Xenopus tropicalis: one gene and its partners. The protein of the gene in region 1 purifies or fractionates together with the protein of each later gene. This does not show direct contact. Links are inferred from orthologs where the notes say so. Each region holds a gene or a part of one and is shown on either strand. Other genes may lie near its edges.

The links.
Region 2: the proteins of klc1 (region 1) and kif5b purify together in Homo sapiens (co-immunoprecipitation; 11 studies listed by BioGRID and IntAct, counting the BioPlex papers as one, with this or other methods). This does not show direct contact. The link is inferred for Xenopus tropicalis from reciprocal best matches to the Homo sapiens genes KLC1 and KIF5B.
Region 3: the proteins of klc1 (region 1) and kif5a purify together in Homo sapiens (co-immunoprecipitation; 7 studies listed by BioGRID and IntAct, counting the BioPlex papers as one, with this or other methods). This does not show direct contact. The link is inferred for Xenopus tropicalis from reciprocal best matches to the Homo sapiens genes KLC1 and KIF5A.
Region 4: the proteins of klc1 (region 1) and kif5c purify together in Homo sapiens (co-immunoprecipitation; 4 studies listed by BioGRID and IntAct, counting the BioPlex papers as one, with this or other methods). This does not show direct contact. The link is inferred for Xenopus tropicalis from reciprocal best matches to the Homo sapiens genes KLC1 and KIF5C.
Region 5: the proteins of klc1 (region 1) and clstn1 purify together in Homo sapiens (co-immunoprecipitation; 3 studies listed by BioGRID and IntAct, with this or other methods). This does not show direct contact. The link is inferred for Xenopus tropicalis from reciprocal best matches to the Homo sapiens genes KLC1 and CLSTN1.

Annotation. Positions count from the first base shown.
Region 1 is NC_030684.2:98,530,173-98,532,359, forward strand, and holds part of klc1 (kinesin light chain 1), read left to right. Parts: intron 1-1,042; coding exon 1,043-1,144; intron 1,145-1,601; coding exon 1,602-1,775; intron 1,776-1,875; coding exon 1,876-1,975; intron 1,976-2,187. UniProt on the Homo sapiens protein: Kinesin is a microtubule-associated force-producing protein that may play a role in organelle transport. The light chain may function in coupling of cargo to the heavy chain or in the modulation of its ATPase activity.
Region 2 is NC_030682.2:22,971,300-22,975,404, reverse strand, and holds the start of kif5b (kinesin-1 heavy chain), read right to left. Parts: upstream 2,813-4,105; 5' UTR 2,637-2,812; coding exon 2,511-2,636; intron 1-2,510. UniProt on the Homo sapiens protein: Microtubule-dependent motor required for normal distribution of mitochondria and lysosomes. Can induce formation of neurite-like membrane protrusions in non-neuronal cells in a ZFYVE27-dependent manner.
Region 3 is NC_030678.2:140,743,355-140,746,875, forward strand, and holds part of kif5a (kinesin heavy chain), read left to right. Parts: intron 1-724; coding exon 725-752; intron 753-2,160; coding exon 2,161-2,239; 3' UTR 2,240-2,280; intron 2,281-3,521. UniProt on the Homo sapiens protein: Microtubule-dependent motor required for slow axonal transport of neurofilament proteins (NFH, NFM and NFL). Can induce formation of neurite-like membrane protrusions in non-neuronal cells in a ZFYVE27-dependent manner.
Region 4 is NC_030685.2:77,053,502-77,057,022, reverse strand, and holds part of kif5c (kinesin heavy chain), read left to right. Parts: intron 1-219; coding exon 220-288; intron 289-944; coding exon 945-1,151; intron 1,152-3,521. UniProt on the Homo sapiens protein: Microtubule-associated force-producing protein that may play a role in organelle transport. Has ATPase activity. Involved in synaptic transmission. Mediates dendritic trafficking of mRNAs.
Region 5 is NC_030683.2:55,918,247-55,921,767, forward strand, and holds part of clstn1 (calsyntenin-1), read left to right. Parts: intron 1-2,256; coding exon 2,257-2,465; intron 2,466-3,521. UniProt on the Homo sapiens protein: Postsynaptic adhesion molecule that binds to presynaptic neurexins to mediate both excitatory and inhibitory synapse formation.

The DNA of each region.
Region 1 (2,187 bases):
TAAAGAGCCCTAGAAGCTTTCTCTGTTTGCTTAAGATTGCAGCTGCCATTTTAACTTGGTCTTCATAGCTTCCTGCTGTATAGCTCTAGCCGTTATAGCTCAGATCACACATTCCTCAAGAAGAGGGGAGGGAGTCCTTAGCATTCTTGAGGGGGGGGGGGTGGCAGGAGAGAGGAGAGAACAATGCAGACTCTGTCCCCCAGAATGAAGGATTTTTCTGAGAGAGTAAGTCATACCAGAAGAACATGTTTACAAAAAGGAGACCAGAAATCTTGTGTTTCTTTTGATAGAGGACTCGGTGCAGCTTTTCTGTGAGTGCTTATGGCTGTACAGGTATGGGATCCCTTATCCAGAAACCTGTTATCCAGAAAGTTCCGAATTACGGAAAGGCCATCTGCCATAGACTCCATTATAAGCAAATAATTTCTAATTTTTAAAGATTTCCTTTTTCTCTGTAATTAGAAACCAGTAACTTGTACTTAATCCCAACTAAAATATAATTAATCCTTATTGCAGGCAAAAACATGCTCACGTTCTGCATAAGAGGTCCCATACCTGTATTTACATAGACTTTTCTGAAAAAGCTTACTTATTGTTTACCTTTCCTTCTCCTTTAAAGTGTAAATTATTAGCAGGAACAATTTAATAATATGTTGCCCTCCTTAAAATGTTTTTTATTCTCTCATGTTTCCAGAGCTCTACAAGACTGTTCTTGTTCAAAATCTTTTAATAGGAGTGAGCAATCATTTATACAGAAACAATGAACTAAGGCAGCTACACCCATACACCAAGTCACAGTTATGCAGAGACTAAAGGTCCCACTTCTGGTTTTATCACAATGTCTTTTAATACTCTGCAAAATATTACATACAGTATCAAGCATTTCGCAGACAGAACGCTTTCTTTGACTTAATATCTAATATCTATCATATTCTATAATTTGTTGTTCAATATTTACTTTGTTATTAAACAATATATATATTTTTTGCTTTTGCAATGCCTTGGGAAAATATCTTGATTACCAATATTTTACACTTGACAGGTCGCAGCCACTCTGAACAACCTTGCCGTTCTTTATGGGAAACGAGGAAAATACAGGGAGGCAGAACCCTTATGCAAAAGGGCTCTTGAGATCCGGGAAAAGGTATTGCAATTAATAAGCTACTGAGCAGAGTTTGGCCAGCAATGTTTGCTGTTACAGAAATTCCACAAAACACAAATCTCATTTTTAACACAATAAAACTTAGAAGATCTGTGTTCAAAGTGATGCATTGGGATGGATCATAGGTTTGATATTCCTACAATTTTTTTTTATTCTAAAGAAAAGTAATGGGTTTCCTTGGGAGATATAACCTTTTTCTGCCCATGGTGATTACATGATTGCATAAAGCCAGGGCTAGAAGGGCAGCTTTCCTATTTAAAGTTGCCAAAAACACTGTCCATGTTCCGGCATTGTGGAAACACCCATATGTCAGTATGTCAGTTGAAATGCTTATTCATTACACATCAGTGGTGTTGGAGCATTTTAGTTAATGTGCCTACATGTCTCAGGGGAAATACACAAAAATTCACAATTTTTACTTTATATCTTGTATGAGCAGGTGCTCGGGAAAGACCACCCAGATGTAGCCAAGCAGTTAAACAATTTGGCCTTGTTGTGCCAAAACCAGGGAAAGTATGAAGAGGTGGAATATTACTATCAGAGAGCACTGGAGATATATCAAACCAAACTGGGACCAGATGATCCAAATGTGGCTAAAACAAAGAACAACTTGGTAATTAATATATGTGTTTGTGAGCTTTTTTTGCCAGTGGGGCAGCAGTTATTTTGTAAATGTACAACTGTCAATTAATATATAAAATGTGTGCTTTCAGGCTTCTTGCTACCTAAAACAAGGCAAGTTTAAGCAAGCTGAGACCCTGTACAAGGAAATTCTGACCCGAGCACATGAAAGGGAGTTTGGCTCAGTTGATGGTAAGAATTGAAAATAATTGAAAGAATTTCTAGTTCATAGCTTTGCTGCATTTATTTTTGCATCTGACAGCATTTTATATGGTGTATTTTAATTTAAGCTATAGATGTAAATGGTTATTATGATTCTTTGTAGTAGGGACCGTCTATACATCTCAGCTTAAAAATCTGATGGTTGATGGGGTAAAACATTGCTAATAATTTTTGTTGTGTCA
Region 2 (4,105 bases), on another chromosome or scaffold:
AAAATGGCCCCTTTATTGGAGCTCCCTATAGATCCCATCAGTTCTCTGGCCCTGTTTCAAATGAATGGTGGGCGTGTCATAACAGTCCCTTCCAGAAGTGCAGCCGGAGAGGAATAGCCAATTACAGCCTTGCACTCACACAAGCAAAGACAGGCTTCAGTTCCCTATCAGGTCAGCCTAGCTGATGATTGGTTCCTATCCTACAGTGCCGTTTACTGAGAGCAGCCGGCCCCCCTGCACATGCAAAGAAGTCAGCTAGCAGGAAGTGGAACAGATGGGCGGGGTTAGTGGGGTTTTGGTGGAATTTCTCAATAAATCAGACCGAAACACAATTTTTTAAAGAAAAATCCTTCTGTTTTTAGGGGAGTATAATTCACTGGTACATTCTTAATTTTTATATGATGTGCCTCCTTTAAGGGGGGGGGGTTAAAAAAGCTGTCCAGGTACCATACATTGTGTATAACCTGACAGCTTACTATCAGCATTTTGCACATTAAATGCACAACCTACCGCAACAAGAGATTTGCAGAGTGGGTCAAAACCAAATGGATTTCACTCGTTACAGATATTCATCTGGATAGCTTTTTAATCTGTTTTATTTACCGAAAAATAACAGGCATTTTTGGTGTTAACAGGATATAGAAAATGGTCCAATAAAATTGCGATTAGCTGGAGAAAGGCAATGTGCAGAAATCTAAATAGGGGTATTACTATCACTTTTACACTGGCACACGGGCACCACAGAGACTCCGTGATCCTGATACCCAACATATTGCTTTAAATGCCAAGCCTTGAGTTTCTGGAAGGTGCAGCCCTATAAGATGTAGCACTGCACTAGGCATCCATGTGCTTTCTAAGGGTGAAGACACACAGAGCTACTAGTAGCAGCTACTTGTGACGGCTACTAAAATAGACAATGTTGATCATTTACTGATAACTGTCTTTACGTGTGTTGTAGCAGAGGCAATTTTCAGTATTGTCTATGGCAGGGTATTTTCTGTCCCTTAGTAGCTGTAACAAGTAGCTTCTACTAAGTAGCTCTGTCTGTTTTCACCCTAAATGACAATGTGACATCTAGGGACTGGGGAAATAAGAGCCTTGCCAGAGGCCAAACACATGAAGCAAAGCAAATCAGTTGCTTACCCACACTGCTAAACAAGCCTGTAAACTCACAGTATGTTTCACAACATTTCCCTGCCAGGGATTTTTGTTTAAGCAGGAACAATATTTTCAATTTTACTGTGATCTTGAAAAATATGCATTCTTGCGGGTGCTGAAAGGCCAAAAAATGTGGCATTATAGCAGGACTTCCCCCCCACAGCAGCCTTTCAGGTTTTGCTGACCTGCACTCCTAGAGCCACAAACCGGACATGGGCGAATCGAGAAGAGTTGGGACCCGTGCAATGTACAGCGGGGACACAATGCTTCAACTGTCAGCTAGATGCTGACAGCTGTAGGTTGAGGCAGACAAACTGTCACATAAAGAAGTCTCTTATAGAACTGGGTATTAAAGACGAATTACTGCACGGCAAAAATGATCATTCTAAGAAACTTTTTAATAGAAATTCAGTTGATTCTTTTCACTGGGTCAGACTCTTGAAACAGCAAAGAAGAAGTTGCCCTCCTGGTCTGCAGCTGCTACATTGTTTCAGCAGTCAGAAGCAGGACTGCAGACAATATAAACAGATACTGTAGCAATTACCTTTACAGATGACAATAAAACCAGTGAATGTGTATGGGAAAGGAATACAAATGCCATGTTTTTTTATATACACTTTGGAAGCAACAAGCCAGTGGAAACGTGTCTGTATTTGCCCACAGGGGTGCCCCATGTCTGATCACAGTGCCCATGGGCAGGAGGGGCAGCAGGCACCCACCCTGATATAAGGCTCTGTATGTCTGGCTTCAGCTGCTGCTGCATGGCACTCCTCATTCATTAGGCTGATAATTACAATGGCACTTGGGGCAGCTGCTGAGTAAAGCTGGGCACTCCCATGTGTGAGGGATGCCGCCTGCCAGCACTCATTCTGCCCTCCCTGCTGCGGATCATTTGTTCGCTGACAACAAGAGGTTAATACCCCCCCCCCCCCCCATTCACAGCAATATGTCAGCTCCAACCCGTATCAATGCCAATATGTAGACTCATACGTTCCACCATAATAACGTAGCCCTTATAGGGAGTAAGGCTAAGTTGCACCATAATAACGTAGCCCTTATAGGGAGTAAGGCTAAGTTGCACCATAATAACGTAGCCCTTATAGGGAGTAAGGCTAAGTTGCACCATAATAACGTAGCCCTTATAGGGAGTAAGGCTAAGTTGCACCATAATAACGTAGCCCTTATAGGGAGTAAGGCTAAGTTGCACCATAATAACGTAGCCCTTATAGGGAGTAAGGCCCTGGGACGCAGGGAATGGTTGGCCCCAGAGTTAATGGAAGATGCTGGGAGTTGTCACAGCAGCGACACTACAGCCAATCCCCCCACCTAAGAGCCCATCCCTGCACACTCACCGCCATCACCACAGTATCTTCCCCTTGAAACTTGGCCACATACTTGTCCCCTCTGGTAACCTCGGAATCGTTCAGAGGCCTGAAACGGCACATCACTTTGATGCTGCACTCCGCCGGGTCCGCCATCTTGTCCGCCCCTTCCCCTCCGGCACAGGGGGCAACTGAGCACACGCAAATAGGACGCTGGCGGCTACTCCCGCTAAGTTATTGTGACGGTAAACCACCACCACCGCCGCAGCCGCTCCCCGGAACCGGTGAGTGAGCCGCTAAGCTTGGCGGACGGAGGCACTAGACTTCACTTCCCATCCAATATGGCAGCCACGGCGGTGACGCAACTACTGTTCCTCCCTCCCTGCCGGCTGTGAGCTGAGTGATGTCATCTTCGCCCTGAGACTAGACGCGCACACTGAGCAGAACTGGTGGGCGGGGCGTACTGTAAAGTGACGTATGCGGAAGCGTAAAGGGAATGTGTCAGGATAGAGCAGTGCGGTTGCGCAGTACGATCACGTGATCGTTTCCCTGCGCGCTAGTTTGTCAGGGTCGGGCGTCTGGGACAGTTCATTAGCGCGGCTGCGGATGAATAAGTGTGGAAAGCTGTTCGAAACAGTGAATGGGGGGCCACAGGCGTGGGGTCCTGCTATGCTTAGTGCAGGGAGTGGGCTTCCATAGCAGGGTTGCCAGATTTATTTTTCCAAACCAGGCAAAGTCAGTTCTAAACTAGCCAAAAGCCACTTTGAAAGTAGCCCAATATGCACAATGAAAAATATTTTTTAAAAAAGTATATGTAACCCTATTTTGGCTACGGTTGTACTTTAACCACGCAATCACCTGCGTGTGGCGCTACAGGAGCCCTGAGCCCCCGCTTATTTATGGGGGACAGATATGATATAAATGAATGGCGTGCCTCCACCCAGGGTAGGTATAGGTAGAACTATATGTCTCCTCCCTGGGAAATCTCAATGAGGTCCTTATTGGACCCGGACTCCCAGCAACTCCCGGTACCTTGCCCCTCCCTTGGGGTAGCTGCTTACCAGGCAGTTGAGGATCCTCAGTATATGAACAGCCAAGACACCGGTTAAAATGGTGAACCAGATGAACTTGTTTATTGATGCAGGCAGAACACTTCAGAGGATGTCACACAGACGGCTCAAGTCACACACTCTCTCTTTGGGCTACCCCCGGTACTCCCGCCGGATGCTTCCACCTAGGAACTCACCCCGGTCCACGCGTAGGGCCCCTTCACTGGGAACATTCCCAGGTGCTGACTTGGCGCCTCTTACTGAACATTAGAGGTCCTGAACTCCAGCCATGAATGCTGGGGGGTCTTAACCCCTCTCTCCTGTTGGGGGCTATCGCTGCCCGTACTCTCTAGCCTGCCTGTCACTCCTAGAGTGACCTGTCACAGTACCTCTTGTACTAGAACACTAGCCTGTTGCTGACCTCATTACAGAGGGGGTCCCAGGCAGAAAGACCTTCACAAAATTGGTGTCATCCCTTTTTATATTGCAGCACACTGCCACCTAGTGGTTGCTGCTGCATAACAGGGAAACTCCCTTTTCACACATAAACACTCAGGACCACCTTTAGGTGTCCAA
Region 3 (3,521 bases), on another chromosome or scaffold:
ATGGGAGTCTGTATACTGGGTAACTCGGGGTATACCCGTAAATGGCAGAACCAAGCTGGGAAGCCATGATAACATGAATGCAAGGTTTTAATGAAGACAAAATAGCAGAACAGCAACTGGTGCAAGTTGAAAATATGAACAAATATACAGGCCAGTGACAGGAACAATCGGCAGTCAAAAATGTAGATCAGTAATCAGGCCAGTAGTCGGGACAGGCAGCTGACGGAACAAAACTGAACGGAACAAAACTGGGAAATTTACAAGAACAGAGCTAGGAGGGGCACATGAGTACAGGAACAAGACAGGAAACAAAGAACAAGGCAAGGACTCAGGAACTGGGAACCAGATGGGGGTCTCAGGAACAGGAAAACACGAATCGCAAGAGGGCAAGATCTAGGCTAGAAAGCTTAATGACCAAGCAAGGACAATGGCCAGTGGCAGGCTTATAAAGGGTCTTAATTAAATTATAAGTTACACATTGGGCTAATAAGGTGGGCAGAGGAGGAGGTAGAACGATCAGGACCAGCCATAAGAGCCTCCAGGGGTTCAGTTGGTAAGTACACAGTCTCAGAAATACATGCACAGTGCACATTGCAAAATCCATTGCTCTCCTATATAAATTGATTTCCTTATTAAGGGGATACAGTGACAATGGTAGAAATGTGACTGTTATTTGGTTCATTTACATTTATAAAACTGATGTTTGTTATATTCATACCCACAGGAAATGCTACAGATATCAATGATAACAGGTAAGAAGCACTAATAATGTTTTCTACTTTTTGACTTCATTCCAAAGGTGACAAAGATTACAAATACAATGAAAATGCATTCTTCTGTCACTAAGTATATTTCCCATCATAATGCTCCTTCTTTATATCAAACCTTGAACAGCGTTACCCTTGCTTACTCTACAATAAATCACAGCCTCTTTGTAATGCCAACTGCATTTGAATGTTAACCAAAGACTCTAAAGCAGTTGTACCCAGCACTGAAAATGGAGCACTATTTAAACTTAATCAGGATATGACACAGCGCATCAATAGAAAGATATCTTTCTGTTACTGATACTGAGGTATTGTTTTGTGCTATCAATACGAAATGTAACGGATCATTTTAAACGCCAAGTGCAGCAAGCAATGTGAAATTTTGAGCCCAAACTGTGTTTTTTCCCGTTATTCAGCATTTTTTCACATAATTCCAGTGTCCTTACACCACCAGGGGGAGTTGTCCCTGATGCGATTGTAGCTGATGTATCAAAATTAACTTGCACTTCAATGTTAATTAAACACGCTTTCACTGAAGTCCAGTTGGCGTTATTTCTGGTGTCTGGCGAGAGAGTGCTTTGTGTGGCTGATTCATTAGATACAAGCATGCTGCGCCTGTTGATACAGTGCACTAAGGGAATTCTGGAGCTACCGCCTGGCCTAGAGGTGGCAATAGCTAAAGGGATTTTCTGCGTCAATAGGTGCAACTGTGCTTGATACGGAACAGGAAGCATGAAGGACTGAGAGGCACAAAGGCAACTATACAGAGGTGCAAGGAGCACATTTTAACTTTTAATGAATGGGGATTTATGGGCAACTAACTGGCGGGAAATTTGTGGGACTCCAACTGCGCTTGTGGTCTTAATTGACCCCTATAGTTTCTTTTTTACCCTTCAGTAAATCTAAAAAAAAAAAAAAATCTTTCTGGTGAGCTGGTGTGAACTCTAGTTTAATAAATACACAACATACAACCCTTTTAACGATTTATAGAGATGTGTGCAAAATTGTCCTCTTCACTTTCCTTGAAAAATCAATGACAGCCAGGAAAGTGTTAATATGAAAAGTGGTGTGAATCACTCTGGAATTCCCTGTTGGATATTTAATAAGTCTATCCTGTACAGCTAATATAACAGTATTTCATATAACAGGAAATGTTTTTAAAAATACTATATAATGTAGGATTATTTTGTCACCAATATGGATCCAAAGGACTGTTAATTATAGAGAAAAAAAAATTCTTTTTAAAAATGAGAAGTATTTGCTTAAAATTGAGTCTATAGGAGATGGCCTTCTTGTAATTCAGAGCTTTCTGGATAATGGGTTTTCGGATAAACCCATTTTTGCTTTGAAGTTGTTGCATTATTTCAAAACAATGTTTCTATTTTCACTACAGAAGCGATTTGCCATGTGGCTGTGAAGCTGAGGATCAGTCCAAGTTGTTCCCTCTTCATCAGGAGACAGCAGCCAGCTAATAACGCAGTCATATAAATTCTCATATCATGTGCACTTTCAGGTAATACCTACTTTATAACCCATTTAAATGGTCTGGTCAGTTCACATGTATAGTCATTATTTATGGAATATTGAAGGAAAAGATTTCCTCACTGCTGTCAATATTGCTTTACAGATGGCTAAATGCGGGAAAATATTAGGAGTTATTTGTGAAGCTGAACACAGTGTGCAATCTGCCATTTTTTTGCACTATGCACATTATAATCTTCTGTGTGCACACCACTTAGGAGCTCAGAGACCTGCGGTTCCCCCCATGAATACAGTGCTGGTTGTGTTGTATTGGGGAGGAGCAGGTGGAGTAATTAAGATGTGCATGTTAGTGAGCAGCATGCAGCAAGGATAAGGCTAATGCCAGACGAGGCGTAGGGCAGATATTTTCAGCAAGCGGAAAAACACTTGCCAAAAATTCCGCCCTACACCTCCTACTTGTGCCTGCACCCGAATGAATGAGATACACTCGGGTGCAGGCACATGTAGCTGATATACGCATAAAAACGCGAGACTTTGCATTATCTCGCATTTTCATGCGTATATTGGCTACATGTGCCTGCACCCGAGCGTATCTCATTCATTCGGGTGCAGGCACATGTAGGAGGCGTAGGGCGAAATTTTCAGCAAGCGCTTTTCCGCTTGCCGAAAATATCCACACTACGCCTTGTGTGGCATTAGCCTTAGGTTTGGCTGGGCTTCCTGAAGCTGTGCTTGCGCAGTTTACCCCAGGGCACAAGTGCATACTAATGAGCACTAAGGGGCATGCTCTTGTGATATAGCACTTGCCCAAGGGGTAATGTAAATGTCCCCTGGCTTAGCCACTTCTGACCAACCTGTCAGCTTTGTGGCCCATGTATGTTGGCAAAACCATAACCCCACTGACCATATAGCTCCCCTGTTGAAATCTACATCAGGCCCTGGATGCTGTCCTCTCTGAGTAGGTCAACATAAAGAAAAATCTTCAGCACACCACTTACATACATGTTCTCAGAGGGTGCTTAACTTCCACGGCCGCTCCCAAGCCTTTTCTCCATGTAGCTTTGCAAAGGGAAAGAAGCACACCAGTTGTGTCGGCAATGCCTTTAAATCATTTATTTGCAGAAATGAGCAAAACAGCACAAGCTTTCGGGGGTGACCCCTTCCTCAGGTGCAAGGAAGGGGTCACCCCCGAAAGCTTGTGCTGTTTTGCTCATTTCTGCAAATAAATGATTTAAAGGCATTGCCGACACAACTGGTGTGCTTCTTTCCCTT
Region 4 (3,521 bases), on another chromosome or scaffold:
TGGTTTTTATTGTCTACATTTCCTTGAAGACTTTTGCTACCAGTACATAACAGTAACACTATTGAAGTGCTTCATATTATGTGCCACCACATCCTACGCCCTTTCTGTACTCCATGCTGTCCATCACACAGCCACCCAGCACCCTATCTATAATACTGCTGCCTCTCAATACGTTGTTCCCTCTTCATATATATTGATAGCATTTCCCTGTTTCTCTAGGATGATGAGATTAATCAGCAGAGCCAGCTGATAGAGAAACTCAAGCAACAAATGCTGGATCAGGAAGAGGTAAAATAAAATATTATTTCCGCTTATTGACCACATTATGTTAAGGACATACTTGAATATTACTCTTGCTGGAAACTCATGGCTGACAAGTTTATTTATTTTTTGTCTATACCCTGTTGAGCAGTCAGGTAGCTTCAAAAACACATGCTTATTAATAGAAGAAGCCATCAAGCTCCACCCATGTGGTTCCTCATCCAAAAAGTTTGGTATATGTGAGATTGAGCTAAATTAGAGATTCTTACTGAGAGAGGCAGCCTATCAAGCTCCACCCATGTGATTCCATATGCACAAAATTGGTATATGTGGAATTTAGAGATGCTCAGACCCAGACATTGTCAAGAGTCTTGGGCCTTAAGGATCCTTCCGATAAAGAAAATAATCTATGTAATCCAACATCCCCCAATAGCCTTTATCTGACAGCTGAAGGGACACAGGTTGGATATCCCTGATGTATATGCTCAAAGGAGCCCCTCTAGTACTGGAGGCCCAGAGAGAATCCTCTTTGTCTAACTACCCTAAACTCAACAAGATTTGGTAACCCAGTTCTACATTTAAACAGTGGCCAATTCCTTCAGCTCTGTTGAGGAGTTTCAGTATTTTGGCTTCCCAACTGGGGATGATAGTTCATACAGTTGCTGTGTGTTTATGGTTTTCAGCTTTTGGCATCAACGAGGAGAGATTACGAGAAGATCCAGGAGGAGCTGACGCGCCTTCAGATAGAGAACGATGCAGCCAAGGATGAGGTGAAGGAGGTGCTTCAGGCGTTGGAAGAGCTAGCTGTCAACTATGATCAGAAATCTCAGGAAGTGGAGGACAAGACAAAGCTTAATGAACAGCTTTCAGAAGAACTGACCCAAAAAACAGTAAGTCCAGGAAGAACTTGTTTGGCACCGACAATCTGTATTTCTTTACAACATTGAGTTCTCTGTGGGACGTCTGTACTGATTGGTTTTATTAGTTGACCAGGGATTTCTGTTGATCTATGATGTCTATGAGGGCCACATTTCACTAGTGATCAGATTGATCAGCCCATATGCAACAGTCATTGTAGAGGCTGGTTACCTTGGGTGCCAAAGTTCCTTGGCCCAGTTCTGAAGAATGATGTCTGTATTTGCTACTATCTGTAGTATTTCCAGGGTCGGACTGGCCCGGGAAACTGGGAAAAATCCTGTTCCTGTTGGGCCCTGCCACCTAAGCACCAATTTAGTAAAGATTCAAATAAAATTTAAGATGGCCATGCATTCCACGGTGGAATGTATGGCCATCTTTAATTGTTTAACCTAGCTTTGTGGCCTGAAAGTGGAAAAGTAGTGGAGCTGGAGCGGGGACGGACAGGGGACAGGGCTGGACAGGGGTGGTGGTGGCTGCATGGTGGGCACTTGACTTGGGAACCCAGTGGGCCCCTGATTTCTAGTAAAGCTTTTGAGTACTGTTCATTAATGTGCATGATCTGAGGGTCCATTCACACAACACATCATTGGGACAGTACATTTTTACATTGCATGGGAGAGAAATTGTACAACGTGTCACGTAAAGCTTTTATAATATTTTTTTTTTGGTGTTACTGTTTCTTTAAACATTGCCGAGCTGAGATAATGGAGGGAATCCATAATTGTGGATAATGCAGCTCTCCGCAGCAAATTCAAGCCGGCGCTATTAACAGCCATTTCTAAATGGTGCAAAATTAAATTTGTTCCCACCATAACTGCTGCTAGATAACAAAAACCCATTAAGATATGCAAAGTAAATGGCCTTCAAAGTAGCTATTACGATCGTTAGCGATAAAGAGCACAAATAATCCGAAATATCTTCTGAACTGCGTGGGTGGTGCTTGGGGGAAATCGGTATGCGGTAGGTAGCGCGTGGAGATTGGTTAATTAGATATTAGTGTGTTATAATTATTAACCCTTAAGTCCACTGACACTGTTACTTGTTAGACTTTCTGGGTAATAAAGCCTACAATTCCCAGGAGTGTATTGGGGAGTGGGGTTCTCATGCACTTATTGGGGTACGGATGGAAAGTTGTACTGAGAACATCAAGGGGGATAGCAAGTATAGTACAGCAAGATGGCAGGAGTATGACAAGGTTTTGACAGGAGGTCAAGATAACAGAAGCCCGTGGACCTCCAGTTATTGATCTACAGTACCCAGCACCCACAGACAACTGAAACAATGGGGCCCTAAAAACTCTAATTTGGTGTAGGCCCAACTGCTAGCTCATTAATTACCCAATATCTGAGACTCTTGTATGACTCATACCAAAGGTTGACACTTAGGGGCACATTTACTAATCCACGAACGTCCGAAAAGCGTCCGAATGCGTTTTTTTCGTAATGAACGGTATTTTGCGACTTTTCCGAGAATTGTCGCGACTTTTTCGAGCTCTCAATACGAAAAAGTCGCGACAATTCGCAAAAGTCGTAATGGCTATGAAAAAGTTGCGACAATTCACGAAAGTCATAATGGCAATGAAAAAGTCACGACAATTCACGAAAGTCATAATGGCAATGAAAAAGTCGTGACAATTCACGAAAGTCATAATGGCAATGAAAAAGTCGCGACAATTCGCGCAAGTCGTAACGGTTACGAAAAAGGCGCGACAATTTACGCAAAATTCGTAACGGCAACGAAAAAATCGCAAAAAATATGAAAAAGTTGCAAAATGTTCATTTTTTCCAATCCGAATTTTTCGGATTCGGATTCGTGGATTAGTAAATCAGCCCCTTAGGGTGGCTTTTACCAAATGCCGTCTCTTATCCCATATTCTATCTATTCCCATCACCCTTTGATAAACCACCAAAGAAATGCCACATCTTTCTTCTGTCTTTGGATGAAGAGATCAAGGAGGAAGCCACGGATTCCCTATATATTGCCCTAAGAGAACTACAAGGTCATCTACTAAATCAGCCTGAATCCTGCTGCTAAATATTTCCATCTTGTTTGGATTTGGGATCAGCCTAAGGACATGACTGTCCCCAGATGATGTCCCTTCAGATATCTCTACATGGCGTAGACAATATCTTAGTTTCTATGAACATAAGAAGAAGAATTATATATTGTCCTGTTATGTTCTATGCCAAATATTGAGTCCTTATGAGAACAAGGAACAAGGAGAATGAGTCACGTTGTGTGGATCTTTTAATCTAACGTGCAAATCAAATTAACATGCACTAGGTTCAGTTTCATCAGAGGCCAATTAACCGGCCTTTATGGTCTTTGGAACATGGGAAGAA
Region 5 (3,521 bases), on another chromosome or scaffold:
TTAAAGGCATTAACAGAATCTGCCATTACCACATCACTAGGAAGGGCATTCCATAACCTCACTGCCCTCACCGTGAAAAACCACCTACGCTGCTTCAAATGGAAGCTCCTTTCCTCTAATCTAAAGGGGTGACCTCTGGTGCGTTGATTGTTTTTATGGGAAAAAAGAACATCCCCCAACTGCCTATAATCCCCTCTAATGTACTTGTACAGAGTAATCATGTCCCCTCGCAAGCGCCTCTTTTCCAGAGAAAACAACCCCAACCTCGACAGTCTCACCTCATAGTTTAAATCTTCCATCCCCTTTACCAGTTTAGTTGCACGTCTCTGCACTCTCTCCAGCTCATTAATATCCTTCTTAAGGACTGGAGCCCAAAACTGCACTGCATACTCAAGGTGAGGCCTTACCAGGGACCTATAAAGGGGCAAAATTATGTTCTCATCCCTTGAGTCAATGCCCTTTTTTATACAAGACAGCACTTTATTTGCTTTAGTAGCCACAGAATGACACTGCCTGGCATTAGACAACTTGTTATCAACAAAAACCCCTAGATCCTTCTCCATTAAGGATACCCCCAACACACTACCATTCAGTAGATAGTTTGCGTTTATATTATTTCTACCAAAGTGCATAACTTTGCACTTATCAACATTGAACCTCATTTTCCAGTTTGCTGCCCAGTTATCTAATTTTGTCAAATCGCTCTGCAAAGCGGCAGCATCCTGCATGGAACTTATAGTTTTGCACAATTTAGTGTCATCAGCAAAAATAGAAACAGTACTGTCTATGTCCACCTCCAGGTCATTAATAAACAAGTTAAACAGCAAAGGCCCAAGGACTGACCCCTGCGGTACTCCACTAACCACACTGGTCCAATTAGAAAATGTTCCATTTACAACCACTCTTTGTACTCTATCCTTCAGCCAGTTCTCTATCCAATTACAAATATTATGTTCTAGGCCAATATTCCTTAATTTGATCATTAACCTTCTGTGAGGTACTGTATCAAACGCTTTAGCAAAGTCCAAGTAGATGACATCAACTGCCATTCCAGCATCAAGGTTCCTACTCACCTCCTCATAAAAGGCAACTAAATTAGTCTGGCAAGATCTGTTACGCATAAAACCATGCTGGCACAAACTAATAGTATTGTGAACTGCAATGTATTCAAGTACCCTATCCCTTATTACCCCTTCCAAAAGTTTTCCTACTACTGATGTCAGACTAACAGGCCTATAGTTTTCAGGCTGAGAACGGGATCCCTTTTTAAATAACGGCACCACATTAGCAATCCGCCAGTTTCTTGGCACCATGCCAGACCTCAATGAATCCTGAAAAATTAAGTGAAGAGGTTTGGCAATCACAGCGCTCAGCTCATTTAATACCCTGGGATGAATCCCATCCGGCCCTGGACCTTTGTTTACCTTTACATGTTCAAGTCTCTTTTGAATTTCCTCCCGAGTGACCCACGCGTCAGTAGCTAAATTACTAGAACTGGGCATATTACAAGGGAAGCCTTCATTATCTGGCTCCTCAGATGTATATATATTTAACTAACTTGGTGGGTTTATGTCGGGATTTGTGATTAATGATTATAACATTTGGCCTGGCCCTCAGCTTCTCAGGTGCCACTAAGAATCCATGCCTGGCAAAAAATTTCACTCGTCACTAGTTACTACATAAAAATCCAAAGACACTGTACAAAAGCCATTCTTGAGGCAATCTCAAAAATCGGAAATAGGCCAAGTACAAAACCAGGATCTCAATATTAGGGACAGAACAAGAGTCCGAAACAATGTATAACAAAACAGGAACCTGGAAACAAAACACCCAAGCAATCTTGGGTCAAGTGTTGGAGAACTGCACATTAACCTTTATGTCCCTGGTTCAGATCCAGGCAGAATATCATACAACTTTTATAGTGTTTTTTTAAATGTAAATGATTTTCCTGCTGATCTGCAGGTTTTATAATGTAGTCAGTGTGTGAAATTACATTTTTCAATAAATCATAGCATAAGTGTAATAGATACTTATAGCTAAGATTCTCTAATTCAGAGAGTGTAAGAGTAATCTGAGGTCGTAATGTTAAAATCTCTAAAAGCATTAATCAAGTGATTAATAAAGTGAGATGAATCTGTGTGAGCTGTATGGAACCCACTAACTGTAATTTAAACTTTAGACAGGAATACTGATATATTAAAAAATAATGAACATTTATTTTGTAATAGTCTAATTTGAATTATTTGTTTATTACAGGGCATCAGTACACATACAAGTAAATGATGTGAACGAGTATGCACCAGTCTTCAAAGAAAAATCCTACAAAGTTACTGTCCGAGAAGGGAAAAAGTATGATAATATATTAAGGGTAGAAGCTGTAGATGCTGATTGCTCTCCGCAATTTAGTCAGATCTGCAGCTATGAGATTGTAACACCTGATGTGCCTTTCACCATTGATAAGGATGGTAAGAAGCTCTCATCTTTAACCCTTTCACTTCCAGCCATTTTGGTCAAAGCAGAACTACTGCCAGACAGTTTTTGAATATTTTGCACTGTTTTGCTTAAGGGGCCTTTCCTTGGGGGGACTTTTAGTTTTCAGGACAACCTAAGCTTTCTGGACAACCAGTGTGGCGGATATTGAAAGATTTCAAAGAGGCTGTTCACTGATTAAATTTTTGTGTGCAGGGTTTACATGTCCTTTAAGACACTTTTACAGTTTGGCAGTTGACACTTTAGAACTGTGTTCTTTCCGACACTTTTGTACCTTTTTTTTAAGGGTTTTGAGACCTATGTTTATAATTTAATAGGGGTGACACATTGGCAGAAGTTATTATTGTTACCGTATTTTTCGGACCATAAGACGCACTTTTTTTCCCCCAGAAGTGGGGGGAAAAAGTCCCTGCATCTTATGGTCCGAATATAGCCTACAGATATACTTTGAAAAAATGTTTTTACTTGCCCGTGTGGTCTCCGTGCAGGGCCCTCCTCTATTTACCGGCGCTTAGCTCTGGCGCTGTGCGCATGCACAATGACGCGCATGCCCATACGCATGCGCGTCATTGTGCATGTGCACAGTGCCAGAGCTAAGCGCCGGTAAATAGAGGAGGGCCCTGCACGGAGACCACACGGGCAAGTAAAAAACCTTTTCTTAAAGTATATCTGTAGGCTATATCAAACTAAGGCAGCCAGAGGGACAGAGGCGCTGTGGTGCGGCGCGGAAAACCATCCTGAGGCCTGAGCAGGTAGGCTGCTTTTACAGGAAATGGGGGCAATTCCTGATTGCTGCTGCTGGTACAGATGGGGGCAATATGTTGGGTGCTGCTGGTACAGGTGGGGGGCAATATGTTGGGTGCTGCTGGTACAGATGGGGGGGCAATATGTTGGGTGCTGCTGGTACGGGTTGGGTTTTAATGCACATAAAATATTTTAGGACACTATTTGTTTCAGAATCTTTTTTTCTTCATTTCCCTTCTCTAAAAACTGGTGCGTCTTATGGTCCGGTGCGTCTTATGGTCCGAAAA